5 linked regions of the Canis lupus familiaris genome follow. The protein of the gene in region 3 interacts with the protein of the main gene of each other region in a biochemical or structural test. Links are inferred from orthologs where the notes say so. Each region holds a gene or a part of one and is shown on either strand. Other genes may lie near its edges. The genes, in order: ACVR1, BMPR1A, BMP7, BMPR1B and ACVR2A.

Region 1 (5,887 bases), on a different chromosome or scaffold from region 3:
GTATCTGGGCTGTATCCTTGTTTGGACAGGGCTTGTGTGACAGGCTGTATCCATGTGTATCCTCCTGCTTTACACATACATGCATGCATGTGCAATCATCAATTTATATTACAAGGCCACAAGAACTACCTAGAATCCTCCCAGATAGTCTCCTGGAATGCAAGGTAGTCCCAGGGAGGTTGGGTTAGGGGGTTTTGTGTTGACAAAGTCACACAAGGCCACTACTGAAGGTACGGATACAACAGTTAAAAGCATAACAGGATTCATTGGTTCATTTATCCACTTACTCAGCAAACGTCTATTGGGCACCCACGTGTTCCAGTCTGCTGGGCATGATGATACACGTGAACACAGCCAACCTGGTCCCTGCCCTCAGGGAGCTTACGGCCTAGGGAGGACTGGGAAGGTTACCAAGAAGAGGCTGGTAAAATGAGGACTCTGTAAATGTACGGGACTGAGGAACATTCACACAGCACCTTGACGGGCTTTCAAGTAAGGGTCATCTCGTTTGAACCCCACGACGAACCTGGAGACAGGCTTTATTCCCTCCCCAGAGGTTAGAGACATGCCCAAGGTCATACAGTTTCTAAGTGGCGGAGCTTCAGCCAAGTGACACGGAGATCCCCGTTGTACTGTTTTACAGAGCAGGGGTACACGTAGGCATTTTTGCTTGATTGACCTGGAGTTTCCTCTCCCGATTCTCGGCAAGCAAGCGTGCAGGTACGGAGTCCCCTTGCGAAAAAACGCCCCCCCCCCCCCCCCCCCCCCGACTTCTCCAACCTATTGCTTATGTAACACCTGGGGGTTATTTCCTAGCTGTCTCACGTATATGTGCCTTACGTTCCTAATTGGATTGTAAACTCCTGACCTGCAGGGACCAGATCTTCCATTTCCTTTGCAACCTTTTGCAGCACTGCAGTCACCCAATAAATGCCTGCTGCATGAATGAACCTGTAGAGATAAAAATACTTTATGGTATCCCCATTTATTGGTTTCAGGCTCTTACTCTGCTTTGTGATAGGACTGTACATTATAAGCTTCTAGAGGGCAGAGGAAATGGCTTGGTGCTTTCCTTGCACTCAGCAGGCACCATGCAAAATTTGATCCCCGCATGCCTTTTTGATGCTCTGGATAATATTAGCACACTGGAGTGTTTTCGCGTATCCAAGGACCGAGGTTGTCAGCCTCCGTGCGGCGGGGAATGTTCCTTCCTTTCCGCAGTAAGCTGCCCTGGCGCCTAGGACGGGGCCAGATCGCCGCAGAAGCCCCCTCCCCCGTCCCCCGCTCATTTTTATCGCTAAGGAGGCCGACTGCGAGGATGGCAAGCTCTTGCATAACCCCGGACCTCGCGGGGAAGTGAGCAACGTGGAAGGGGATTCGGAGGCGCACGCCGAGCCCCGCCGCCCGCGCCCCCCGCGCCCCGGGAGCCGTCCCGCCGCCCCCCCGCGCCTACCTGCGCGCCCGCCCGCCCGCCTCTCCGCCCGGCCCCGCTCCGGCCTGGCCGCCGCCGCCCCGCCTCCCAGGACCCCGCGCCCGGCGCTCGCGGCGTCCTCGGCCCGGCGGGGGCGGCGGGGGCGGCGGGGGCGGCGGGGCCGGCGGGGCGGGGGCGGGGGCGGCGGGGCGGGCTCGGCGGGCTCGCCCCCGGCCGGGCGCCTGCAGGGGGCGCGGGCCCGGCCCCGCCCCGCCGCCTCCCTCTCCCTCCCGGCTCCTGGATCCGCGCCGGGAGGAAATGATGTGTTGCTGCCTGGTTAATCACAGCTCCAGACACCCATTGGCCGAGCGCTCCGCAGCCACTTCCTCCTCCTCCTCCTCCCGCCGCTCCCGCTCCTCCCGCTCCGGCTCCTGCTCTTCGCAGCCGCCGCCGCCGCCGCCGCCGCCGCCGCCGCCGCCGCCGCAGCCTCCCCTCCGCGCCCGGGAACTTTCCTACTCCGGGGCCGCCTCCCCGCCTCCCCGCCGCCCGCCGCCTCCCCGGCCGCGCCCCGCCCGCGCCCCCGCGCCTCGGGAAGTTTATCCCGCCGCCCCCTCCCCTTCCTCCTCCTCCTCCTCCTCCTCCTCCCCCGCCTCCCCTCCCTCCCTCCCTCCCCGGCTCTTCCCCGGTGGCCGCCGCCGCCGCCGCCGGGCTGCCCCCAGCCCCAGCCAGCGCGCCGGCCCGAGGGCAGGAGCGCCCCGGCCCCGCCGCCGCCGCCGCCGCCGCCGCCGAGTTCCGGGCTCGCCCGCCCGCCCGCGCCGCCCCGCAGCGCCCGGAGGGCTCGCTCCCCGCCTCCCGGCTCAGCCCGGCCGCGGCGGGACCAGAGGTGAGGGCGGGCGGCGGGCGGGCGGGGCGGGGGCGGCGGGGCCGGGCCGGGGCGGCGGGCGGCGGGCGGCGGGCGGCGGGCGGGCGGCGGGGGCCTCGCGGGCGCCCCCGGTGCCTCCTCCCCGCAGCCTCCCCGCCGGCGGGGCCAGCGCCTTGGAGCCCGGCCGTCCTGCCCGGGGCCGCTCCGTCGGGGCCGCGTCTCCGCTCCCGGCCGCGTCGGCCCCGCCGCCGAACGCCGGGCGCTTCCAGGAGGAATTTTCTGCGGAGACGCAGCCAGTAAACTCCGCTGAACTCCCGCCCGCCCCCCGGGCTTCCGAGCTGCAGTTTCAAAAAGCTTCAAAGCCAGGAATGTGGGATTCGTCTCCCGATCCCCAGAAGGCGAATGTGGTTACAGATGTTGCACGAGACTTTGCCAAGTTTAAAGCCCTTCGCTCACCGCCGTAACCCGGCAGCGAGGCTGGAGGCCGGGCGGGGGCGCCGCGCAGGGGCCGGGGCCGGGGCCGCCCCGCTCGCCCCGGGCTCTAGGCCGCCGTCGGTCTGTCCGGCCCGCGCCAGACGTGGCTCCCCTCCCCCCGCGCCCGCAGCTCCCTTTCCCCGGAGTTTTGAACGCTCCCTGCCTGGGGGAGAAGCTGCAGAGGAAGCTACCGAGGGAGGAAAACACACTGCGGGAGGAAAGTCATGGTTAAAAAGTTGTGCTTAATTTGGCTTTTGGAAGGTGGTAGCAGAGTAATCAGTGGATTTGTTCGTTTTGTTGGGCTTTCTTTTGTGTGTGTGTGTCTGTTTCAGAGAGATGGAGAGAGAGGAGACTAGGAGTGATGGCAAGTAGGGGATGGGAAAGAGGACTGGCCTCATGCACAGTTTGTATTGTTTTTGAGAAGAGGCCGTCTAATTGAGACTTAGATATAACCCAGTGGTTTTAAAGAATCCTGTCCCAGAGATGCAGACTGCTCTGACAGCCCAAGGGAAGGCGGTGGCAAAAAATAGACACCACCTCCCTTTTCCCCCAAAAAAATTCTTCCTGGAAAGGTGGTGTTAAGAAATTTCAGAGATGGGCTGATCCAAGTGGCAGGCCTTAAATGGAAACACTATAGTATGTCTTGGCACTTGTCTCTGGAGGTGGGTGGCTGGCTGGGGGCCCGGGCTTGGGCAGCCAGCAGACACTAGACTTGTGCTGACCTCAGACACTGGCCTCGCCATCCAGCTTTACAGTATGCTTTGGTATTGAAATAGGGGCCTCCCCTGTTTAGCTGGTGGGGACAGAGGGGTCAAGAGGTTGTCCTAGGCCTGGACGGGACTTGGATCACCTGGCTCCTAAGACCTAATCACTTTGTTTTGTGATGCAGTCGTTTCTGTTTTCTGGCCTGGAACTAAACACACAAAACAAAAACCAAAAAGGAAGTCTTTTGAAGCTGCAATGTGTGGGTCTTAAATCGACGGAATTGTGTGGTGGGTTAATAGCATTTCTGCTTCACCCCACATGCACGCAAACACTCAGAAGGTGGTGAATGATGTTGCAGTAAATTCTGGATAAATGGCAAAACTCAAGAGCTGGGAGGGGGGCTAGAATGGGTTCATACCCTCCTTTTCTGGAGTTCGGGTGAATTTTTCTTGAAATGGAGAGAGCGGGTTATAAGTAAAACTCGATTTAGGTAGTGGTGTTACAACTTTTGTACCGTGGAAGAGAGTGATCATTTGAATCCGAGTGAATTTCTTGTTATCTCTGAGTAATTTAAAAGAATATTAAGGATGCTGCTTTGAGATGGAGGAGTTTGCCTTCTTCAGGAATGTAATTAATTTCAGAAGTGGGGACCTTAATGCCATTAATAGCATTGTAATGATTTTTTTCACAGTAGTGATTTACCAAATTTTCTGCCTCTGTCCACCAAACAGCTAACAGTGATTGAAGCAGTGGAGACTATGACTTACCTTAGATTGCACTGAACCAATACTGTGAGAATCATGATAGACTTCTAGGTAGGGTTGTTGGATCAAGTAGTCCAGCCTTATGGGGGAGGAAGGGACAGGGCAGGGATGCGCTTGAAAAATGATCCTGTTATTCAAGGTCATGAGGTGAAGATTGAATCAATGTGTGTGTGTGTGTGTGTGTGTGTGTGCGCGCGTGCGTGTGCGCAAAAAGTACTTTAGACAAAGAGGAGCTGGGACTGGGAACAGTCCTCTATGCTTGTTCTGCTATTGGATCTCTGCATCTTGATTTATCTTTATGTGAAGGGGTCTAATGTACAACTTGTTAGACACTGGGGAGAAGTACACTGTTAATGGTAGCAAAAACCCTTTGATATGTTTGAATGAATTTGGTGACAGATATGTTGGGGAGCACCGGATATGTGCTAGGCACAGTGCTCAGCTCTTCACATGCATTTTTCATTACATTTTCACAGCAACCACATGTTTTATTATTATTTCACTCTTATGATGAGGAATTGAGGCTTCCTGAAATTGAGTAGTTGCCCTAGTTGTATGTAGAGCTAGTCCTCAGTGGAGTCAGGATTTGAACCAGGAGTTTGTGGGACTCTGGAACGCGTGTCCTCAGCCCCTTTTGGCCAGTGTTTGACAAATTTCATTCACTCATACACTGTCTTCAGGAGTTTGTTATGGCTAAGTTTCAGTCTATTAATTATTTAGTGTTTTTCTTTAAAGTGGTGATTGCCCTTAGAAAAACTTAAAAGATGTCATCTTTTAAGAAGAACCAATATATCATTGCCTTATTTGGAAAGCCAACTCCCTTGTTAGTAATAGGATGTAATCATAAAGATGCATTTGTACTCATAATAAAACCCCAGATTCAGGACAATGATTAAATGATTACCGTGTGTGTGTGTGTGTGTGTGTGTGTGTGTGTGTGTATTTTGCAGGGACCTGGGGAGGTTCAGGGAGGAAGAAGTAGGTAGATGATAGAGCATTGATGACCTTCTGGGGTTTTGGGTTGGGTGGTGGGTTCAAGGGTGCTGATTTTATTTTTAGACTTTCTAACCTACATACATGATACATATTTTTTGGTAAAAAGATAAAGAAAATTAAACACATGACTATTAACATAATGACTACTTGGGGAATATTTCCCTGCACTATGATGACTGTAGACAGCTCGGTGCCTGTGCGAAGTAGGCACGCAAATGCTGTTGGCTGATTGATAAGACCCCAGGTGATAATTTTAAAGCAAGTTGATTGTTGTCATACCTGAAGGAGATTGAGGTATGTCCCCCTTTTCTGTATTCTCCTGCTTCCACTCTCGTTTCAATACTGTGACCAACATCAGAGCGTGGGCTGCAGTGGTTTCTCCTGACTGTGGTTAGGGGAGGCTAGGGCTGAGCGGAAGCTGGCACTTGTCAGCCTCACCTCGTCGCATACATCTAGTACTCAGGATGGGTCAGAAAACGCTGTCATGAAGTGTTACAGTGCTTTCATTTTTATCCAGTGGGCACGTGTGACCATTCAGGCTGGGAAGCTGGGATTTAAGTTAAAGCAAAGCCTGGGTAAGATGTTAACAGCGTTAAACTGGCGAGGCTGAGAAGTGAAGCCATCAGAGATTTTAGTTGGAGTCCACATGGTCTCCTGTTTTACTTTCCCAAGCAA
Region 2 (5,981 bases), on a different chromosome or scaffold from region 3:
AATGTTTCTTTAAACTTAAAAAACTTCGGTCTGGGGAGCCTGGGTGGGTTCAGTCGGTTGGGTGTCTAGTCGGTTGGGTGTCTGCCTTTGGCTCAAGTCATAGTCCCAGGGCCCCGGGATCAAGCCCCACATCAGGCTCCCTGCTCAGCAGGAGTCTGCTTCTCCCTCTCCCTCTGTGCTCTCTCCCTCTCAAGTCAATAAATATTTTTTTTAAAAGGAAAACTTAGGTCCAACCAGATTTGAAAAATCACCTATGTTTACTCTCAGCACTGCCCAACATGATCTGTTTTATCCAGATAGAAGGCGTGGGCATCAGCACCTCTTTCCAACAACCAGTCAGAAATCAGAAATCACTGCTTCTTCTCCCCTGACATCTATTCCACATGGTCTTCCTTTTCCATTTCCACCCCTACTACCTGGATTAAATTCTGATTACCTCATACCTCACACCTCCTAAAACCTTCTGAGCCTCCTGAGCCCTCACTCCATTTCTCTAATGACATATATTCACACATCACTGCTAGAGTGATTTTCCTAAAGGAAGATTTTCTTGATGTTACACTTCCTAGCCTAAGACCTCTACCATATTTATAGAGAAATACTCGTTTTCCATCAGCCAGCTTTTCTAGAAATACCTTTTAATTCTTTACCTATTCAAATCCTAACTCATCTTTCAAATCCCAAGTCAAACAATCCCTCCCATGCTCTGTCTGTACTTAGCAGTTCTACAGAACTCTGATTAGGAAGTAATGAATTACTCTTCTGGCATTTATTATTTTTACCTGGCAGTGTTAGTGATCATTACTCATATTACTTATATACAGACCTTACTGGTATGACTGTAAATAGAAGATGGGGACCATGTTCTTTATTTTCTGATACTTCCATTGTGACTTGCTGCTACACAGTTTAACAGAGACCAAAATAAATAATATCCTACAGAACAAAAATAAGCGCTCTCGAGTCTTAAATTAGGAAGGAATATATCCTTAGAGTCAAAGAAATCAAGGGCGCCTGGGTGGCTCAGCCAGTTAAGCACCTGACTCCTGATTTCAGCTCAGGTCATGATGTCAGGGTCATGATATCAAGCCCTGCATCAGGCTCTGCACAGGGCAGGGAGCATGCTGGAGATTTTCTCTCCCTCTCTCTCTGTCCTTACACATTCCCTCCACTGCCAGCAGTTGTGCATGTGCACGCGCACACACACATCCAAAAAAAGAAATATAGATCACAAAGGACCTCAGGGGTGAATTGGCACTTGAGATTTTTTTTTTTTAAGATTTTATTTATTTATTTGTGAGAGACACAGAGAGAGGCAGAGACACAGGCAAAGGTAGAAGCAGGCTCCAGGCAGGGAGCCCGACGTGGGACTCGATCCCGGGTCTCCAGGATCACGCTCTGGGCCGAAGGCAGACACTAAACTGCTGAGCCACCCAGGCTGCCCGAGAGGAGTTCTTAAAAGTTGACAGGGCTACCACAAGAAAAAGTGGAAAAAGCATGTCAGGAGAAAAGAATAATAGGAGCAGAGAGCAAAGAAATACAGGCAGCTTCAAATCACTGGCTGAAGAGTACCACACATACACGGAGGGGTACAGAGGAAGAAAACTGAATGTTTGCTAACAACCAATGCTTACAGGTTTTCATAATTTCAGGTAAGTTGATCCCTACCTAAATCAAGAGCCTCATCATTTCTTGCTTGAAACAATTAACAATTAAGAGCATCCGAATTGTCGCCTGCTTTTGGTGTCCCCCTCCTCCTTCCAAACTATCATCCATATCCCTGCAGGATTAATTTTAGCAAAACAAATTATGATTCTAAAATGCCTCTGTTAAAATTTTTCGGTGGCTGCCAACTATTCACAAAATAAAGCCTAAACTCCCGACCACAGCACTGAGTCCTTCACCATCAAGGTCTCTCCTCGCCTTGTCCCTCAAAGCCGCTCTCATATCCTGAATTCAAACCACACAAAATGATTTCTTCTGTCTGTTGTACAATCGATATACCTCAGGCTTCCCTTGCTTACGCTGAGCTCTGCGCGTGAAATTCTCTCGCCTCCCAAATTCCACTGGGCAATCTTTCTCATCTTTCGAGACTCTACTCAACTATCACGTCCTATGTGCAGCCTCCCGGACTGTTCCCTCCTCTCACAGCAGTGAAGCGCCCAACCGCGAGGGCCCTGCGATATTTCAGGTGAAATGTAATGGAAGGGCCTAGCATTGGATGGGGATGGGGGGACTGGAAGAGAAAGGACGGAAACATTCACGGCACATTCAGAGGCCACCGGGTGGGACTGCATCTCTGACTAGAGCGGGAAGGAAAAGGTGAGGAACCACATCCGGCACCGAGACTTTGCGTGTGGGTAACAGAGATGTCCGCTAACAGACATGGGAACCCCGGTGCGACGCGAGCGGTTGGCCATACAGGCCGAAAGCTTAGAGAGAGGGACACAAGTGAAATGTAAGGTTGAGAGATCACTATAGAGGTAACTGTTGAAATGAGATCAGGAAAAACATAAAGAAGAAACAGAAAAATTTCAAAGATAAAACCTCGTGGAGGTCATTACTTAAGAGTAGGAGGAGAAGAAAAATTATGAAGGAGTGATTAAAGAAGTAGAGCTAGAAGAACACAGGGCCGGGCAGCCCTGGTGGCGCAGCGGTTTAGCGCCGCCTGCAGCCCAGGGTGTGATCCTGGAGACCCGGGATCGAGTCCCACATCGGGCTTCCTGCATGGAGCCTGCTTCTCCCTCTGCCTGTGTCTCTGCCTCTCTCTCGCTCTGACTGAATAAATAAATAAATCTTAAAAAAAAAAAAAAAAAAAGAAGGAGAAGAACACAGGGTCATAGAAACCAAGAGAACTGCAAAAAAGGGAAAATAGCAACTACTACAGTGATCAAAGAGTATGAAACCTAATAAAAGGCAATTAAAAAGTTGTAAGTGTTTTTCAAAAGAGCAAAGACACAAAGAGCAAAGGCAGAGTGAGAAAAAAGAATGAGCACGCTACAGAAGCAGCAGCCAACTGCTGCAAAGCCAACTACCCTACGAGGAAAGAGTACAGACTACTTCATAGTATATGTCCTATTTATTTTTCTAAAATATAGATCCTAAAGAATTCAAACCTTTTACCTGATAATCTGAGTCTGTAAATGGATCAAAATTAATGCACTTGACATCCCCTTTCTTAGAACGGCTTCTTTTCTCCTACCCTTGGTGTTACGACAGTTCCTACTTTTAAAACAAATTCTATCTCCAAAAACCTATTATTTTAAGACAACATTTTTATTCTGAATTCTATAATGTGTGAAAGATTCAAAATAATATAAACATCCATAATCTTCCATTCTGAACTCTGGTTGTCTTTAGGGGGGATAAATACATCCTTATATATCATCTAATGCTTATTTTCTATAATTAGAGTGAAGAAAGTGATATCAGTAATAAATGAGTACCTTTTATTTTTGAAGACTTTAAACATGAATAAGAAGGGGAAAATGTATTAGAACTACTTATGAACTCATAAAGAGGTGTTTAAAGAAACTAAAAAGACTAAAATAAAGTTGCAGCAGTAATACATACACATGGACTATTTTCAATTCCTTCCTTCTTTCCTTCCAAGTTAGTTAATATATAGTATAGTATTGGTTTCAGGAGAATTTAGTGATTCATCACTACACACAACACCGCGTGCTCATCCCAACATGCACTCTCCTTAATGCCCATCACCCAATTCAATTTAGCTCATTCCCCCACCCACCTTCCACGACTATTTTCAAATAGTTGATATGAAAATGTTCATATTATTCTAATTATTTTCTTAAAAGTCTTTTCCTTACCTCAGAGATGTGGCTAGATAAAACTGTACTTCCAATTTTCTCCAAACAGCTTTGACCTATGCTTCCATCTCATGAATTCCAAGACAGTATTAAACTGATGCATATTTTCATAAATCTGTTAAAAAAAAGAGAGAGAGCTTACTTAGACCAAAAGAAACACACAAAAGCAATACTAAAAATTCGTCATGTGTAAAATTATATATTTTCAACATAAAGTCAATGAAATTCTAAAGTATTTTAACCTATCACTTTATCATTTTCCCAACCTCTGCCCAAAGATGTTTCCTATTTTGTATATTTTCAACTTCACAAAGGTAACAATAGTTCTGTGGAAGAAACTTCTTGCATGCAAAATTTCTGTATTAGCTTAGATTTCTGAAGGAAAAAAAAAATCACATCTTAAAACGAAAAAACAGGAACAGTTAGAAGCAGCACTAAAATCCACAATTCTACAGTATTGAAATTTCTACTTAGGCAAAAATATATTTGGCCACCCAGCTAATACCCCTATTTTTCACTTTCTATCACAAAATCTCAGTAGGTAGTTCTAATTTCAGTCAATCTTCTACCTAGAATATTAAAGAACTGGAGGGGTCAGGAATCAATGGCACTGCTTGGTCTAAGCCCAGGGGATAGGTTACAACTATGTTTCCACTGACATTTAGTTCCCTGCTGCATTAAGACACAAAGTTGATAAATCTAAAAGCGGGAAACAATGAAAAATTCTGATTTATTTAAAAAGGCATGTTGCTTACTTAGAGATCTTAAAAATAATTTCTATGAACATATCTTTTAAATGAAACTTCAAATAGCAAAGTATTGTTTCATATTTTAAAAGGAAAAATTTTAAGCTGTATGAACACTACCTATGTCCCACGGCAAGGTCAAAATGCCTTTGTCTTCAAGTCCATTTAGAGGTATCGTTTGTGTCACACTGAGGTTTAGTAGTCTTGGCAATAATGACTGAATTCATGTAAACTGGGGCAACCTGAAACGGTCTAGCATATCAGATAGCAGCCTTTCTTAAAGACAAGAGTCTCCACTCAGCAGACGGGCTGCCATAGGACCATGCTAAATCTTTCATGGTCCAACTAAAGACAGACTGACCCTGAAAGCAATTAGTAATGCTTTGTCTGCATTTAGGAGCCTTAAACAGTCTTCTCAATGCACCGGTTACCCACAACTTAACTGGTCTCTAATATTTTTCAGGGTATTCACAGGACAATAAAACTCTTAGACCATCACTCAGAGAAACGAGGGCAGGAATGGAAGAGATACAGTGTTTAGGGATTTTTTTTTTTCCTGAGAGGTTCACAGTCTTAAAAAATTTCCCTTACATAATCAAAAAATAAATGCATTATGTTTTCATTTTAGAAATGACAAATATCTACCTCCAAAGCCACTCTTTGCCAACAACTCCATTCTTCCCTAATGGCGTAGGTGGAAGAAAAGAGGGAAGGCAATCACTGTATTTCACAAAGCTAGAGATTAACCCATTCTCATAAGGGTTATAACAATCCATCAAAATGACTATGTTTAAAAATATATGGCCTGATTCTAATTCTACCAGATATTTCCAATGGATCAAATAAAATTAACATATAAAACATTTAACCATTGCTTATCATGGCACTGCTTATTACAAAACTGTTTCCTTGGTGTGAAAAAAAAAAAAAAAGCTTCAGGCTAAATCTAAAGTTAATAAAAAGAAATATGAATAATCAAAAGAATCTTCAAGTATGCCATCTTCAAAGTCTGAGACCCTGAATTGTCTATCCTCCCTCCATCCTCTCACATGCACAAATAAATGACAAAGTATAAATCGTCTAAAAATTGAATTTAAGACCAGCTAAGGAAAACCAAGTAAACATGACCTCATACTAAGACATAAATAAAAAAAAATCAAAGGACAGGATATGCTTCACCATACAGGTCTGCACATCACTTTTTTAAAACTAGAAATTGTGCAAATAAAGTAAAGCTTTCCTTAACCTTTGCAATACAGTGCTACAGTCCTAAAAGAAGAGATGCGTAAATATGTGCATGTATATAAAAAGGATTTTACGTGGGCAAAATGCCCCCAACAGCTTTAATCTTTTGACTTACAAGGTAACTGAACACAGGCTTTTAGCACTAAGAACTTGTGTTTAA
Region 3 (6,123 bases):
GGCCCTCTGCTCACAGGCTAGTAAGAATGGCACAGGCTAGGAAGAATAGGGACGCAGCAGAACATAAGCCAAGCATGAGGCCCTTCTGAGCGTGGCAGCCTGGGCATCCACACGGGTGTCACGCCCATGAAGCCCACCCTGCTTGCCACCCAGGAAGTACTTCACTGATTGTTGCGGAAGGAAGGAGTTAATGGATAAAGGGCAGGTGGACGGGGCTTCCCAGAGTGCCTCGACTGACAGGTGGGCAGAGGCCCAGCCCAGGGTCAGGGCGCTCAGGACCTGCTGCATCTCAGAGCTGGGGCCTCAATAACGGGTGGGAGCCTGTGATATGAATGGGCATGACCTGCAAACCTTGCATCCCTCACCTCCTTGCCCACCTTCTGGCCTCACCTATCCACCTCCGTGACCCCTCAGACTGCCATCTTGTCCAAAGCCCCCAGAGGGCTACAGGGCAGAACCAGCTCTGCTCCAGAAAACTCTAGAAGGTCAGGTTTCTCTCTGCCAATCCTGGAGCTTTCTCCTGTTCCCCAGTGAGGCTTGGCCTGACTGCTCCCGCCAACCCTCGTCTCCCCACCTCAGCCATCCACCTTTCATCCCAAGCTGCCCGTGGCAACCCTCCAACTAGCCCATCATCTGGGAACCCCGAGCTGTGGATTTGCCTGGTGGGGGCAGCCCCAGGAGGGGAAGGAGGCGAGGATGCACTTTCACTTGTGGCCTCACTTGCATTGTTTTGCTCCCATTTTTGCAGTGAAGGAATGGGGTTCCTGAAGAGCAGTAACTCACAGGAGGTCTCAAGGCATGCTCCAGGCTGTCGGGGTGCCTGTGTCCATGGCCGGATGTGCTGGGCTCTAGGCAGCTCAGGATGCTGGCGGGATGGACCTCGGGCACAGGCCCTCAGAGGAGGACTGGGATGCAAGGTGACCACCTGCTCCCCAGACACTGCCGGCAGGGCAGGGCCCAGGGGTGGGGTCGGGATCCGGTATGTAGAGTCAAGCTGAAGAGTGCTTGGAAATAAGCCGGGGCCCCCAGGGGAGGAGGTGGGGAGAAATTCTGCAGTCCACACAGTCGTTCCTCAAACACTGCGCAGCTGCAGGCAGCTACGGGGACCTGGGTTCAAGGCGCTGTGGGTACAGAGGAGACCGAGAAAGCGCCAGCCTGTTCCCCCCCTTCCCCAAGCGGCACCTCTGTTTCCGTTGGAGGACACAATACGGTAAGGGAGGCGCGAGTAACCCCAACAGCAATTGCAGACCGTGAGGGAAGTCAGAGAAAAGAAGACAAATGTGCACAGGGGTCAGGAGGGGAGGCCACCTTCTCTCTCCCGACCTGGGAGGAAGTGGCACCCAAGTGGCACGGGGAGGTGGAGGCCACCGGAGCTAGGCGCAGATGGGGGTGGGAGGGATTAAAGGGAAGGGGATTCCAGGCAGAGGGAATGGCAAGTGCAAAGACAGCCTAGCGGTTCGTGCTGGGAGGCGCGGCGGGGTCCGCGTGGCTGGAGCAAACGGCGAGTTGGTGGAGCAGAGGGACGAGAGGGGCTCGGGGTCTCCTCCTCCGGGAAGCCTTCCCGATTGCTGCGCTGCGCCCCTCCCTCCGTCCCTCCCTCCCTCCCTCCCTCATCTTCTTCTACCTCAGCCCCAAAACGAATCCCACGGGTCGCTCTGGCCTCCTCCCTCCCTGTCCCGACCTCGAGCCCGGAGAGGCCAGGGCCGGCTCGGATTCCCCCGTCCGCATCCCCGCGGCGCTCGGCCGGGCGCCGGGCACCCCGTGGGCACTCGGTAAATATTTGTAAAGCGCAGTAGAAGGAATGAATGAACCCATTGGGCGCAGCTGGGGGGAGGGCGGGGCCGAGGGCAGGTGGGAGGCCGCGGGCGCGGGAGGGGCCCCTGGAAGCCCGTCCTCCGCCTCCTCCTCCCAGGCCCGGGCGCGCACCAGTCTGGGGCTCCCGAGGCGGCCTCTCGTGCGATCCAGGGCGCGCGCGGCTGGGGGAGCGGCCCGGGGCCCCTGCTCCCGGCGCCGGAGTTCGGAAGAGCGCGGGTCGCCGCCGCCCGAGGGCAGAGCGCGAGCGGAGCGGGAGGAAGGAGCGCTCGCCCGCCCGCCGCCCGCCGCCGCCCGCCGCCTCCCCGGCGCTCGCTCCGCGGCTCCCGGGTCTGCTGGCTGCTCCTCCCACCCGCGCCCGCCTCCTCGCCCGCCCGCCCGCCCGCTCGCTCCCTCCAGCCGGTTTCCAAGCCCCGCGGTGCGCCCGGGCGAGTGCGGGGCGAGGGGCCCCGGGGCCAGCGCCGAGCGGGGGGCGGGGGTCCGGGCAGAGCGCAGCCGGCCGGGGAGGGGCCATGTCTGGCGCGGGCGCAGCGGGGCCCGTCTGCAGCAAGTGACCGAGCGGCGCGGACGGCCGCCTGCCCCCCTCCGCCACCTGGGGCGGCGCGGGGCCCGGAGCCGGGGGCCCGGAGCCCGGGTGGCGCGTAGAGCCGGCGCGATGCACGTGCGCTCGCCCTGCGCCGCGGCGCCCCGCAGCTTCGTGGCGCTCTGGGCGCCCCTGCTCCTGCTGCGCTCCGCCCTGGCCGACTTCAGCCTGGACAACGAGGTGCACTCGAGCTTCATCCACCGGCGCCTCCGCAGCCAGGAGCGGCGGGAGATGCAGCGCGAGATCCTCTCTATCCTGGGCTTGCCCCACCGCCCGCGCCCGCACCTCCAGGGCAAGCACAACTCGGCGCCCATGTTCATGCTGGACCTGTACAATGCCATGGCGGTGGAGGAGGGCGGCGGGCCCGACGGCCAGGGCTTCTCCTACCCCTACAAGGCCGTCTTCAGCACCCAGGGCCCCCCTCTGGCCAGCCTGCAAGACAGCCACTTCCTCACCGACGCCGACATGGTCATGAGCTTCGTCAACCTCGGTGAGTGAGGGCAGGAGGCGGGGTGGGGGTGGGGGCAGCGTCTCGGTCCAGGGGCGCTTTGGGACGGGGAGGGGGCCGCTGCTTGCATCTTGACGCTCGCGGCCCTTTGCAGAAGCGCAGCGCCCGCCCCGGGGGCTCCGACCCCCAGCCCCGGCGGACTCCCAGCTGTGCGCGCCCCCCAGGTAGGGCGGCCCGGGCTCGTCCGGCCTTGGGGGTGGGGGGGGGGCTCGGCGGACGAGAGGGCTGCTCCGAAGCCCCCTCCGGGTCAGGTCGGCGGCCGCACCTCCGGGGCTGGAGGCGCCGGGCCGGCCGCGGCTCAGTTCAAAGCGCGGGGCTGGGTCATGTGAGCTGTGCCGGCCCGCGCGCCCCGGCTACCTGGATTTAAAGGGCCCTGCGGGGCGCAGCCGCCTTCCCGCCCTTTCGGGGCCCCCCTGGGCCCCGCCTGGACCTGGCACCCCGACGCCGCGCCCCCTCGCCGCCCCGGCCCGCCCTACCTGCGCCCTCGCGGTGCGCCCGCCCGAGCGTGCCGCGCGCCGCCTGCGCCTGGGGGGGGGGGCCCTGCGTGCGGCCCGGCGCCCCCTGGCTCTCAGCTCTCCTGGCGGGGGCTGGGGAAGAAACGGTGCCATGGCGAGCTTTCTATTTTAAATATTTAATGATAGGTCCCGGGCGGGCACAATCCATTTTCAGCGTTTATCACGTGTGGCGCGCAGACCACGGCTTTTGGCGATGGAGTGGCGCGGAGCTCGGAGCAGCCGCCGCGGGGGGCGGCCGGGGGACCTCGCCGACGACCCGAGCCGCGGGGGCCGGGGCTGGGGGGGCCGAGGCGGGGGCGCGGGGGCTCCTCCTCCCTCCGTGCACGCACGTCCGCCAGGCTTGCTCAAACTAACCCCCGGCGGCGCGCTGCAGGGCTGGCGATCAAATATTTGGTTTCCGAGATAACACGCCCCGATAGCGTTGTTTCCTGAGCCGATTTCATTCTACTTGCGGCGAAAATCCGAACGGGATCGAGACCGCAGAGTCACGCCCACGGACGCCGCGTCACCCCGGCGGTGATTCTGGAGCCCCTCGCTGGGGGCGCGGGGCGCGGGGCGCGCGGGTGGGGGCGCGGGGCGCCGGGGACCCACCCTGATGCTCCCAGCTGCGGAGAAGGTCGCCTTCGTCTGCCCTTCCTAATAGCCGAAAATCAAACAGTGCAACGAGTTTCAGCGAGAAAGGGGTGGGAGGTTCAGATGCCAAAATAACTTCAAGAAAGTTTAAATTATACTAAGCGGCCAGTTAGAAGGAGGCAGCTCCATATGTCCCGATTTAGAACAATCTCCAAGATGTATGAGGTGGAAAAGAGCAAGGTGCAGATCAGTGAGGTTACGTAGGCGCTTGTATATCATCTGTTCCCCCCTGGAAGAAGACACCGCCAACTGGAAGTAGGTTTTACTGGGGGGCGGGGCAGGGCAGTGGGAGCTGGGGTCTGATTTCTGATTTTTCATTGTCTGCACTTTTGTCCGTGTGATTCTTTTTTTTTTTTTTTTTTTTTTGCAACGTGTATGTGTGACCTATACCAGAAACTAAAGACTTACACACATATATAAATATATATGAATTAATATGTAAATTAAAGCAGGACACACTCTGTAGTGTCCAGAAGCTGGTGGTTAGCTGGGGCTAGGCCCTTTCTCTGGCGAGGGATTTGTGGTATCCTCTGTCCTGTTGGGTACCCACCCACGAGTCTCAGTGAATGCCGCAGGTCCCAGTGGTGGCCTTCAGGGCCAGGCTGGGGTCATTAAAAAGGCATTTGTAAGCCCTGGCTTCTGCAAACCCAGTGCCAAAAATCACCTTGCTGCTTCTGTGGACCAGCAGTGTGGCCGGGGTTCCCCCCACCCCAGAGGAGGAGGAGGCTGCTGACTGGGTGCCTCTGGGAACCTTGGGGCAGAGCTGTTTGCTCCCCCTCGGTGGTGGGAGCAAGCCGATACTTGTTTGGGAAGGCCATAGCTGGGTGGTTCTCCTCCTCTGGCTGTACACACACACCTTTCAACCCGTTAGCCCCATTTCTTTCATCTTGAAAGGACAAAGACCGGCTTGTCTGAGCCTCTTAATCAGTCGGGCTGGCTTTGGGCTTTGTGGGACAGTCCTGACTTTCTCAGGTCGTGCTTTCTGGAACATCACTCCAAATTAGATGGCGCAGTGGCTTTTAACAGAGTGTGCACTGGTCTTGTTTTCTTTCCCTAGCTGTCCCTAAAACTCGAGGTAATTGGTTGGGTGAAGACCTGGCCTGCAGTCTGGCAAGACTCCTCCTGTAGGCACTTTAAGGGTGGCCTTTATTTCTGCTCAGCAGCAGCATGGGACGAGTAAAGCTCCTGTCTCTTCCATTCTGTCTGGGGCTTGGGGATTTCTGTATGGCAGGGGCTTGGGGGTGGTAGTGGCGGTGGAGGGGAGTGCGTAGGAGACCAATCTGGAAGCTAAGTTTGCTAAGGAAGCACAACTGTTTTTCCTTGGACTGCAAATCATAATTGATCTGTAACATGCAAAGTTTTCTAAAGGTGCATTAAGTCTCACACTTTATCCAATAATAAGAAAATGTCATTTGTTCATATCAGACCCTTACTTGGGTAACACGTGGAGGGGGTGGAGGCCTGGGGCGACTTCGGGGGGCTGCTGAGGGAGAGGCTGACTTTCTCTACTGCCCCCTCCTTCCTCCGCCACATAGCGCTGCTGTCCTGCCGTGCCTGGGGGACCTCGGACCAGATTCTGAAGGCTTTTGCAGACCTGGTGCCTTTATTCTTCCTTCTGTCTGCAGCCAAACTGGTTTTTGTTCCTATAAGTCCTCCTCCTTGGAATTCAAGCTTTTTGCCAGGCGGAGCGGGATCTAAACTAGAGAGGGAGCTAGAGGAGAATGTACGACAAAACCAGGTGCTGAGAATGAGGACTTCAGACCCCACCTTGTGACAAAGAGTGGCCCGTCCGATGAAGCCCCGTGTAATGCTCGCCGAGCCACGGAGGGAGACCCACCTCTTCTCAGCCCGGGCCTCTTCAGTTCAATGGCGAGATTTGTAAACTGGTTTGGATTAACAAGCCCCCGACTCCTCTGTGTAGCCTTAATTTTGGAATTCAAAACAGGCTACCCTCTCTGAAATTGTCCCCAGGCAACGTGAGTTCTGCAGACCGAATCAGCTAGAGCCCCCTAACCATTCCCCCCGCCCCTGGAGAAATCCAGCAGCTCCTTTTGGAATCTTCAAAAAGAAGC
Region 4 (5,878 bases), on a different chromosome or scaffold from region 3:
ACCACTACTGGCCATCTGACCTACAAATGTGGTGGGGTCTACAAAAGAACTATCGAAAAATTTGAGAAGGAGGCTGCTAAGATGGGAAAAGGCTCCTTCAAGTATGCCTGGGTCTTGGATGAACTGAAAGCTGAACGTGAACGTGGTATCACCATTGATATCTCCCTGTGGAAATTTGAGACCAGCAAGTATTACATGCCCCAGGACACAGAGACTTTTTCAAAAACATGATTACAGGCACATCTCAGGCTGACTGTGCTGTCCTGATTGTTGCTGCTGGTGTTGGTAAATTTGAAGCGGGTATCTCCAAGAATGGGCAGACCCATGAGCATGCCCTTCTGGCTTATGCACTGGGTATAAAACAACTAATTGTTGGTGTTAACAAAATGGATTCCACTGAACCACCCTACAGCCAGAAGAGATACGAGGAAATCGTTAAGGAAGTCAGCACCTACATTAAGAAAATTGGCTACAACCCCGACACAGTAGCATTTGTGCCAATTTCTGGTTAGAATGGTGACAACGTGCTGGGGCCAAGAGCTAACGTGCCTTGGTTCAAGGGATGGAAAGTCACCCGTAAAGATGGGAATGCCTGTGGAACCACACTGCTTGAAGCTCTGGATCGCAGTCTGCCACCAACTTGTCCAACTGATAAGCCCTTGTGTCTGTCTTTCCAGGACGTCTACAAAATTGGTGGTATTGGTACTGTCCCAGTGGGTCGAGTGGAGACTGATGTTCTTAAGCCTGGCATGGTGGTCACCTCTGCTCCGGTCAATGTTACAACTGAAGTCTGTTGAAATGCACATGAGTGAGGCTCTTCCTGGAGACAATGTGGGCTTCAGTGTCTAGAAGTATCTGTCAAAGATGTTCGTCGTGGCAATATGGCTGGTGACAGCAAAAATGACACACTAATGGAAGCAGCTGGCTTCACGGCTCAGGTGATTATCCTGAACCATCCAGGCCAGGTCAGTGCTGGATATGCACCTGTGCTGGATTGTCACACAGCTCACATTGCTTGCAAGTTTGCTGAGCTGAAGGAGAAGATAGATCGTCATTCTGGAAAAAAGCTGGAAGATGGTCCCAAGTTCTTGAAATCTGGGGATGCTGCCATTGTTGATATGGTTCCTGGCAAACCTATGTGTGTTGCGAGCTTCTCTGACTATCCTCCTCTGGGACGTTTTGCTGTTCGTGACAGGAGACAGACGGTTGCTGTGGGCGTCATCAAAGCAGTGGACAAGAAGGCAGCTGGAGCTGGCAAAGTCACCAAGTCTGCCCAGAAAGCTCAGAAGGCTAAATGAATATTATCCCCAATACCTGCCATCCCCAGTCTTAATCAGTAATGGAAGAATGGTCTCAGAACTGTTGTGTCAATTGGCCATTTAAGTTTAATAGTAAAAGACTGGTTAATGATAACAATGCATCGTAAAACCTGCAGAAGGAAAGGAGAATGTTTTGTGGACCTTTTTTTTTTGTGTGTGTGTGTGTGTGTGCATGTGTGGCAGTTTTAAGTTACTAGTTTTTGAAATCAGTACTTTTTAATGGAAACAACTTGACCAAAAATCTGTCACAGAATTTTGAGACCCATTAAAACGAAAGTTTTTTAAGTAAAGAGACTGGTAGGAAGAAAGCCCTAGGACCCAAACAATCTGGATTTAAATGCTAGGCTTCATGATTTATTAGATCACTTAAACTTTGAGTCTTAATTTTCTCATCTGCAAATAGGAATGATATTTACTCATACCATTACCATACAGAGTAGAGATGATCTATGTACTAGTGCTCATTGAACTCATTGCACTGAGTCAAATACAACTATTATAATTTAATGTATAGGTTGTTACCCTGAAATGGTTATGAGAATTTCTCTATTTTATGTGAGACATATATTATATGATTATAATAATTATATAAGTATAATTTCTAATATCAAAATCATTAAAATATCTGTTTTATGTTTAAATCTTTAAGTATCATAAATACTTAATATTTTGTTTAATCTCCTCATTCTTTGGATAGAAGACTTTGGTTGGACTCTCCCACAGATCCTTAAACTCTTACTCTTTCTTCTTTTCAGCAAACTTACTTGATAACATGCTTTTGCGAAGTTCAGGAAAATTAAATGTGGGCACCAAGAAAGAGGATGGTGAGAGTACAGTCCCCACCCCTCGTCCAAAGATCTTGCGTTGCAAATGCCACCACCATTGTCCAGAAGACTCAGTCAACAACATTTGCAGGTTGGTCATAAATGTTTTAACAAAAGGTTTTAACCTAGGTTTAACAAAAAGTCATACTTTTTTGACTACGAAATTGTAGGCTGATGTTACCCAAGAACACATTTTGAGGAATAGTGCCTAACTCCTTAACTCTCAGAGCTGTACCTGTGCTTAGAAAAATATTAAATTGCATTTTGGCCTGAAATGGCATTCTGAGATTCTTCTTCCTTTCTGCAAATATATCACATATGCACATCAACATAGAACACAGGTTCCGAGCTTGGGACAAGTGTCAAGGACAAAACTATTTTTTTTTTCCTAAAAGACCCTATCCCCAAAATAAATTCAACAGCAGAGGGTGTCAAATGTGTGAGGATTTTTATTAGTTTTAACCATTCATCCTGTCATTGGTGGTCAATATTTTAGAAAGAACACCTGAGTTGTTAGGAATATTCATTGACTCTGGGAAGCAGTGTAGTGATAGAGCTTATGTGAGCCCACCAGATGGTAGGAGAGACATTGTCAGAGTACTAGAGAATAAACTCCTTAGTGAATAATCATATTTGTATCAAAACTTTATTTGGAACTGGACTATTTACCTCTTTCTTTCTAATGCATCTTAATGCAGCTACATCCATTTTGCTAGGCACTCTAGCCTATATTTACACTCCTCATGAAACAGTGGCTAAAGAGGCATAGCCTAATAAGGCCAGTGTGCCCAGGGAGACATAGCAGAGTAACCAGACAAGTGCAGATCTCAAGAGTTAAGATGTCAGAAAAGCAGTATGTCTTTCAAGAAATAGGCCCAAATGGGAACATGGGCTGCTAGGTTTGAAGTCCATGCAGAATATCTGAGCAATAATTTAGGGCCTATTTACCCAGGAAGGAGCATAAAGCTGAGCTGAATGCTTTTTTTTTTTTCTTCTTCCTGAGAAAGAAGGCATATCCTGTGATATGTAGCTCAAGAAATATATATTAACTGAACGATAGGGGGGAATGTTAGGTATATTCATAAATACATATCTCCTTTTTTTTTTAAAACATCAAAGGATTTTTTAAAAAATTTTTTTTAATTTTTATTTATTTATGATAGTCACAGAGAGAGAGAGAGAGGCAGAGACATAGGCAGAGGGAGAAGCAGGCTCCATGCACCGGGAGCCCGACGTGGGATTCGATCCCAGGTCTCCAGGATCGTGCCCTGGGCCAAAGGCCTGCGCCAAACCGCTGCACCACCCAGGGATCCCTACATATCTCCTTTAATCAGCAAAACAACTGAGCATGGTAGGGCATGCTTATTTCTTATCATTAGACATAAGGAATTTAGGGCCCAGGGAAGTCCAGTAACTTGGCTCTTATATGGAGAACAAAGTTGGGATCACGGAGTCTTGTGCCATGGTAAAATGATTCCAGAGCTCAGATGGTATTTACTGGGAAATACCACCTGTTTGTAGTAAATGGTAAAAGTATCAGGAAAATGTCAAAGTTTTCTGAAAAATATAAAATTATCAGGAAGAAACATATTAGGTGGATATTTTACTATTTTGCCTGAGTCTGTAGTAATTAAGAATAAATCTGTGTGTGTCATTGGAGCTATAGTTCTGGTGATCACATGTGAAAACTTTGCAAAATTATCCCAACTTTAAATATTCTGTCCTATTTTCCTTATAGGACATTGGAGTGTCCTAAGTTGATTTGGAAGAAAGTGTTCAGACAGGGTTAACTGCAGGACAGATTCTTTGCGTGGGAAGGAGAAGTTTGGCATATTCAAAGAAGACTGGTTTTCCTAAAGTGCAGGGAGCAGGTGGAGGTGTGGCTATAGTTGAGCCTGGAGCTAGGAAAGATTATACATGGCCTGGCCGGCTTTATTAAGAATGTTCGTCTTATTTCTGGAAGCATTGGGAGGCCAGTGACGGAGATTTGTTTAAGCAGGAGTAGCAGTGGTATTAATGTGGATTTAGGAAAGACAGTTCATGTAAGGGAACATGATCTTGGACTAGGGTGGTGCTGGTGCAAGAGGGAAGTGAATGTGTTGGGGAATTATTTAGAAGGAAAGTTTTATTTTGATGAACTGGCTTCACAAATTGCTTGATGTACATTTAGATGTACAGTGTAGGCTTTTAATGAAAGAAGACAGAGAGAAGTAATTAAGTTCCAATCTGGACATACTGAGTTTAAGGTTTTGTTTTTTTTTTTTTTAAGATTTTATTTATTTATTCATGAGAGACACAGAGACAGAGAGGCAGAGACACAGGCAGAGGGAGAAGTAGACTCCATGCAGGGAGCTGGACATGGGACTGGATCCAGGATCTCCAGGATCACACCCTGGGCTGAAGGCGGCACTAAACCGCTGAGCCACCCCGGCTGCCCAAGTTTAAGGTTTTTGACCCCCCACAAATGGAGATACCAAAGAGTAGGCCGTGGGATATGGATTTGCAGCTGAGATGAGTTTGGGGGAAGAGTCTAGAGTGAGCAGAAGATGAGTCAGTTTTTGCTGTGAAATAAATGGTGTCAAAATCACAGTGACTTACAGCTAAAGACATTCATATTTTCATTCCTAGGCCTGCAAATGGGCTGCAGCTGTTCTGGGCCCTGCTGGATTGGGTGGGCTTGGCATTGGACTGTTTCCTTGAGTTTAGGCCTGTTCCACATGTTTGTCAACCCTTCTTAGAGTAGAAGCTATCCAGAGCTTCTCACTTGACTGTGAGGGAGCAGCATCTTAAAACTTGTATTTGTGGGATGTCCCCTAACATTCCATTTTCCAAATCAAGTGATTTGGTACCAAGTCAAGCTCAACTTCAGAGAGAAGCCATGGCTAGAGTGGTGCATGAAAAATTGAGTATAGTAATAAAATAATCCAATAGACCAGGGTAGGACTGAGCCTTGAGACATTTAATGCTTGGGTCAAGGAGGCTCTTCCCAGAAGATCCAGAATGAACATAGAACAGTGAGTATGGTATCATTGAAACCAAGTTTACAGAGGGAGGAAGTAAGGTCAGCTGTGTTAGAAGCTGTTAGAGGTCAAGTAGGGTAAGAACCAAAACACAGCAGTCAGATTTATTGACCTTGATAACTGTAGTTAAGAAATATTTATTCCAAAGTCCTTAATTCTTGACCATCAGCCAACCCTTGAAATGGCTCTCAAAGGAGCGAATATTCACTCTTGAGTAAAATGAACATCTTTTTTGCTAACAAGATGTTAACTCCAGTTGAGTCTCCTAGGAGCTGAGGTCAGTTGCGTGAATCACAGGGGCTACTTTGTTCCTGGGCCTAAGACCTAGAATAAATTCAGTCCTCCATTACTATAAGCTCATGATCTACTTTTTGACTTCCAAAAATCAGTACCTGTCATGCTGTCTCTGGTGAAACACATACACACACCCCCAACACCCAATCAGCTGCACTGATACTTTTCTAAAGCACGATAAAAATGAATTACTAGAGAATAGATTTAAAAATACTTGCAAATTGCATACTTATTTTTTTTCTATTTTTCTATTATAGAGATTCAGCAGAGCTAAATTTATTGTTCTACAAGTTTCCATTTCTGTATTAATTCCTCACAGACCAGTAGGGAGCAGTTTGCTGACCTGCAGAGGAACACACTTGGAATGATGTTGCATTCAGTCTCTTGCACTCCTAGGTAGAACAGTTCTGAAGACCAGGGT
Region 5 (5,415 bases), on a different chromosome or scaffold from region 3:
TGGTTGATTAGCCACATGTGATTTTTTAAAAAGATTTTATTTATTTATTTGAGAGAGATTGCAGAAAGAGACAGAGTGTGCATGAGCGAGCATAGGAGTGGTTGGGAGTTGCAGAGGGAGAGGGAGAAGCAGACTCAGAGCAGGAAGCCTGACGTGGGGCTTGATCCCAGGACCCAGGACCAATCACCACCTGAGCCCAAGGCAGATGCTTAACTGACTGAGCCACCCAGGCACTCCAGCCATATGTCATTAATAGCAAAATTGTTGAATAAGCCCATGAAGATGGAATTATCTCAATTTTTCATGAGAAATTAAAATCTTACACATACACACACACACACACACACACACACGGTATTGTAGTATTTAGGATATACTTCTAAATCTGTGGATTTTCCAGGGCTTATTTCTCTGTAATTACACATTTTAGCTGCATTTCTGATTCTTGGCCTCTCATTAATAGAGGTGATATTTGCTTTTATGAAAAGTAACTAGGGCCACTAGGAAAATAGGATGGAGGTTCCTCAAAAAATAAAACTACCCTATGATCCAGCAATTCCACTTTTGGGTATTTATCTGGAGGAAATGAAAATATTAACTTGTAAAAAGATACATACACCCATATGGTTATTGCAACATTATTTATAATAGTCAAGATTGGAAGCACCTGAGTGTACATTGATGGATAAAGAAAATGTGGTGTGTACACACACACAAACACATACACACATAGAGGATGTTATGCTAAGTGAAATTAATTAATTGTATAGAGAAAGGTGCAAATACAATATGATCTCACCTAATGTGTAGTGTATATTGTATGTTTAAAAGTTGATAAGACAGTAGATTTTTGTTCTGTCTTTTTTTGTTTGTTTTGTTTTTTTTTTTTAGAGAGAGGAGGTTGGGGAGGGGCAGTGAGAGAGACAGGAGTTCGATTTCATGACCCTGAGATTTCAGCTGAAATTCGGAGTCATATGCCTAACTGAGCCACCCATGTGGTTTGATGAGAGAGTAGATCTTGAAAGTTCTCACCACAAGAAAAAGAATTTTTAACTATGTGTGATGTTGGACATTATATTATTGTGGTGATCATTTCACTATATGTACAAATATGAAAGCCATTTATGTTGTATACTGGAAACTAATGTAGTGCTATGTCAGTTTTATCTCCAGAAAAGTGGGGAAAATATTTTTTCCAAATTATCTTTTATTAATTAGTTGAAACCAGAGATCCTTGTTCTTTTTGTAGTAAAAACTACTGTTCGTCTCACCTGATAGTTAAGAGAAGGAAAAAGAAAAGATTCAAGAAATATCAAAGTATGGAGAAAAGACAATGATACAAAGAATGAAATTGGATAGGGAAAAGTACTTTTTTGAGTTAATTTGGCTAAGTAATCATTTTCCCCTCCTATAATTTGAGGCATGATTCTAAATGTTAAGATTTTAAACATATATTTTTTATAACTTAAGATTTAGCTTTCAGTTGTCTTTTATTTTCTATTAAATAGAATTGGTGTAGATTTAATTTTAATGTTTGATTTTGTTAAAACAGCCTTCTCCCTGAAATTTCTTAAGCTTTCCATTTTAAATTCAACCTTATTATTCTAACAGCCATCACAAAAGTTTGCAGTTTGTAGGATATGTCTTTAAATTTACCTGATGTTTATTAGCATATTTAAAGGTTTGTTGTTGTTGTTGTTATCTGTTTGTTTTCAAACAGGTATGGCTATTTATTGGCTGATTAGGGTTTGTTCTAGTGGCTGAATCCCTATCTCCTCAGCTCCCCAGTCAACCTCATATCAGTTTTTGAGTTATTAGGTTCTATATCTTGTTACATTTTGTTTTCTACTTGTTGGTTATCTTACCCTTGCTCATTGTGTTTAGGGAATTTAAATCTACTCCAAAAAATGATACTGTTAATTCCCAAACCTAGCTTGGGTCTGTGATGTTGAGATAGGTCCTGCCATGAAAGGAACTTAGGTCCTTGTGTGTGTGTGTGTATATTTATATATAAACATATACGTATATATGGGTATCGGTGTGTACACATACACATAGTTTTATTTATAGTGTTCAGCTTTTTAATTCATGCAATGGGAAAGCTATATGTCCTGTAAGAGAAAGCACTTGTAAGCCAAATTTCTTCGTTGGCTCTATGTTCCTTTTTACACTTTTCTAATAATTAAAGAAACATAGTTGCCTTAGATTGATGATTTAAAACCAGATTAAGGTCATAGCAGTGGCCTCAAGAAGCTAGTGTCATTGCTGTAAAAGCAGCTGGTTTTTGTTTTTAAGTGAGATTTAGTAGAAGGATTACTGGAATGTTTTTTGGCTTTTAAGAATTGATCATTGGATATTAATAAAAATCTTTTAAGTTGACCATGAATGACTTTTCCATTATTTTATCTCTGAGAAGAATTTTAGAAAAATACCCATTGTGGATTCAGTTTAATGCTGATTTTAATGATTTCTCCTCTGTTTGTTTATAGGACTGATTGTATAGAAAAAAAAGACAGCCCTGAAGTGTATTTTTGTTGCTGTGAGGGCAATATGTGTAACGAAAGGTTTTCTTATTTTCCGGAGATGGAAGTCACACAGCGTAAGTTCACAGGGAAAATACATAGATCTGTTCAACTAGTACACTGAAAGCAAAACATATTTTGTGTTGATGGAATAATTTACTCCTACCTTCTCCTACTCTTGTTTTTCTCCTAAAATTTGATGCTATAAATCAATAAATACTTATTGTGGAATTTTGTAGACCAAAGCTGAATTGTTTTTTTCCTTCCATTTTCCACAGCTACTTCGAACCCAGTTACACCTAAGCCACCCTATTACAACATATTGCTTTATTCCTTGGTGCCACTTATGTTGATTGCGGGGATTGTTATTTGTGCATTTTGGGTGTATAGGCATCATAAGATGGCCTACCCTCCTGTACTTGTTCCAACTCAAGTAAGTTGTCTTGTACCTTGTGCTGTTTTAAGTTGTATATTTTACAGAACTATTACTGTGGTGAAACCCACTGGGTTGCTATAAGTCATTTTCTTTTGGTGTTACTTTTTGAATGCTTATTGTTATGGCAACTATAGCTAATTTTCCAAACTTAGTAATTTGCTGTGTCCTAAACTTTTCTCACTTTGGAGCTGAGGTAAGGTAGAACAAAGGGTATTCTGTTCTTTGGACAGTTTCACTGTCATTGTAATACTTTCAAGTGTGAGATTTACCCAGCTTTGTTTCTTGAGAAGTAATTGATGGATAAGTGATATCATAACCTGTCCTTTCTCTTCTTTCTTCCATTCCTTAATTCTTTTGCCTTTTTCAAGACTACTTGCCAAAATATCCTTTTAACCATAGGGAGAGTTTTAGTAAGGTGATCCAGAAAGTGTGGAAAAGGAGGTTTCACAAAGGCATCAGGAAGCTATATACGAAAAAATGTTTCTGGGAAGAGGAGCAGATGAGCAATGCTTTTCATCATTTATTAGTAATAGTTCAAGTGTTTTTTGTTGTTATTGTTTTTGCAGCATATCAAGTGTGTACTGAAAACTAAAAAGCTTTTTTTTTAATACTAAAAATTTTTTCAATGCCCTCGATGCTCCCTCTCCTGACCCCAAATCTACCTTAAACTATAGATATGGTGGGTAATCAGATTAAATTCATGAAATTTTCCTCTTTCTCTATCACATAGACAGTTGGTACTGGTACAATGGTTTACAAGTTCTTTTAATATAAGTAGCTAATATTCTGCAAACTCAGGAAGGGTGAAAACTGTAGTTATACTTGTTTGCGACATCTTCAAACTCTAGTTTTAACTGTGTTTCTTTCAACTCTTAAGATCAGATTACCTTGGCCTTTTGGATCTGTGGTTTAACTGTTACTCTAATACTAGGATTAATGGTTAAAACGTGGTAGAAGAATGGTAAAGTCCTATAATTTAATGACCAAAACAACTTCTTCTCTGTAAGCTTTATTTACATAACATACTACTTTCTCAGTACTTGGCAGCAATCTGTTAGCATTAGGTTATTGATCCACATAATCTTTGTAAGATGTATACATGGAGAAATAAACCCAAAGGTAAAATACCTTATTCAGTAAATTAGGTAAACACTGTTTTGTGCAGCTGAAATATTTTAACTTTTAAACCTTAGTTACCAACTTGTGGATTTATTAAAAATTATCTCTGAAAGTATTTTAAAATAAAAATTTTCGCTGCCTAATAAACAGATGTAGCTTACTCCAGATGGCCATAGGATCCACTTTATCTGCCTTTGGTGGTAACTATTTTTTGATTTCTATTTTTAGAAGAAAGAGTATTTAGTACTTAGTGTCTGAATTTACCCTAGATTTGTGATATAATAGAAGAAAACTAGAAACTGAATTGAAAAATAAATTTAAGTTTTTTAATGGAACTTTAAAAATAAAAATGTATTCTTATAGATAACATTGATATTTATATAATATTGGCACAAAGTTACGGTTGGACTTTTTAAAAAGGGCTCAGTATCCTATACATGAGGCCACTTTACTTAGAAATGCTAATTAATTTAAGGGGTTAGACTTTTAAAATGGAAAGATGCAGTTATTGTTCGTAAGTAACCGAGAACCAGGAGTCTCCAATGAATATCCATTTCTGGATTTTAGATTATTTGTTACCAGGTTAGTATTATTGTACACATTTATTTAGCACTTGGATTGCTCTGTGGTGACTTTGCATACACTACATGAATTACTGAAAACTGAGAACTAGATTTAAGATTTTGTGATGGAATGATCTGGAATGGTCAAGCTTTTGTTAGGCAAAATAAACTGTGGAAGAGGGATTGTCATCAGTTTGGAAATTTCATTTATGTCATCTCTCACTGTGTCTCAGAAGTATAGTGTCATGCCTTAAGTATCATTTTTAGTGAGAGGTTCTACAACACTGATTAGTGGCCATTTTGTTAAAAATGCTCAAGTTTTATCTCCAGTTTCAAAATAATTATTGATAATAATTATTGAAAACAACAGCAAGGATTTATTGAACTCTTACAGTGTACTAGGGTACTGCTAAGTTACACATATGTATAAATACTTAAGTTTTATATAAGAATATGTAAAAACATAAAATACATATTTTTTTCTCATGATTTCTAAATTGTGACTGATAGATAAGGCTCATCTTTGGAGTTTGTTAAAAAATACAAACTCCAGGGCCACAGCCCTGTAAGTATGGAGTGGGGCCTAAGATGATATGTTTCTAATAAGTTTCCAAGGTGATTGTGAACAGCCAGGTGTGAAAAGCACTCATTTGATTTTATCTCACAGGGTTTATGTAATTTTAATTTCAATTTTATAGATAAAGAAATTGAGACATAGCAAGACCCACAAGTGTCAGAGCTGGAATCTGAACCAAGGACTGGCAGTAAAGCTTTA

Evidence for each region.
Region 1: the proteins of BMP7 (region 3) and ACVR1 form a complex in vitro, tested with the Homo sapiens proteins (2 studies listed by BioGRID). The link is inferred for Canis lupus familiaris from reciprocal best matches to the Homo sapiens genes BMP7 and ACVR1.
Region 2: the proteins of BMP7 (region 3) and BMPR1A form a complex in vitro, tested with the Homo sapiens proteins (2 studies listed by BioGRID). The link is inferred for Canis lupus familiaris from reciprocal best matches to the Homo sapiens genes BMP7 and BMPR1A.
Region 4: the proteins of BMP7 (region 3) and BMPR1B form a complex in vitro, tested with the Homo sapiens proteins (2 studies listed by BioGRID). The link is inferred for Canis lupus familiaris from reciprocal best matches to the Homo sapiens genes BMP7 and BMPR1B.
Region 5: the proteins of BMP7 (region 3) and ACVR2A are reported together in a solved structure, tested with the Homo sapiens proteins (2 studies listed by BioGRID, with this or other methods). The link is inferred for Canis lupus familiaris from reciprocal best matches to the Homo sapiens genes BMP7 and ACVR2A.

Annotation. Positions count from the first base shown.
Region 1 is NC_049257.1:4,088,165-4,094,051, reverse strand, and holds the start of ACVR1 (activin receptor type-1), read left to right. Parts: upstream 1-2,214; 5' UTR 2,215-2,294; intron 2,295-5,887. UniProt on the Homo sapiens protein: Bone morphogenetic protein (BMP) type I receptor that is involved in a wide variety of biological processes, including bone, heart, cartilage, nervous, and reproductive system development and regulation.
Region 2 is NC_049225.1:35,395,751-35,401,731, reverse strand, and holds the start of BMPR1A (bone morphogenetic protein receptor type-1A), read right to left. Parts: upstream 3,905-5,981; 5' UTR 3,831-3,904; intron 1-3,830. UniProt on the Homo sapiens protein: On ligand binding, forms a receptor complex consisting of two type II and two type I transmembrane serine/threonine kinases.
Region 3 is NC_049245.1:43,039,077-43,045,199, reverse strand, and holds the start of BMP7 (bone morphogenetic protein 7 precursor), read left to right. Parts: upstream 1-2,467; coding exon 2,468-2,885; intron 2,886-6,123. UniProt on the Homo sapiens protein: Growth factor of the TGF-beta superfamily that plays important role in various biological processes, including embryogenesis, hematopoiesis, neurogenesis and skeletal morphogenesis.
Region 4 is NC_049253.1:21,980,511-21,986,388, reverse strand, and holds the start of BMPR1B (bone morphogenetic protein receptor type-1B), read left to right. Parts: upstream 1-2,024; 5' UTR 2,025-2,091; coding exon 2,092-2,234; intron 2,235-5,878. UniProt on the Homo sapiens protein: On ligand binding, forms a receptor complex consisting of two type II and two type I transmembrane serine/threonine kinases.
Region 5 is NC_049240.1:51,343,055-51,348,469, forward strand, and holds part of ACVR2A (activin receptor type-2A), read left to right. Parts: intron 1-2,489; coding exon 2,490-2,599; intron 2,600-2,800; coding exon 2,801-2,955; intron 2,956-5,415. UniProt on the Homo sapiens protein: On ligand binding, forms a receptor complex consisting of two type II and two type I transmembrane serine/threonine kinases.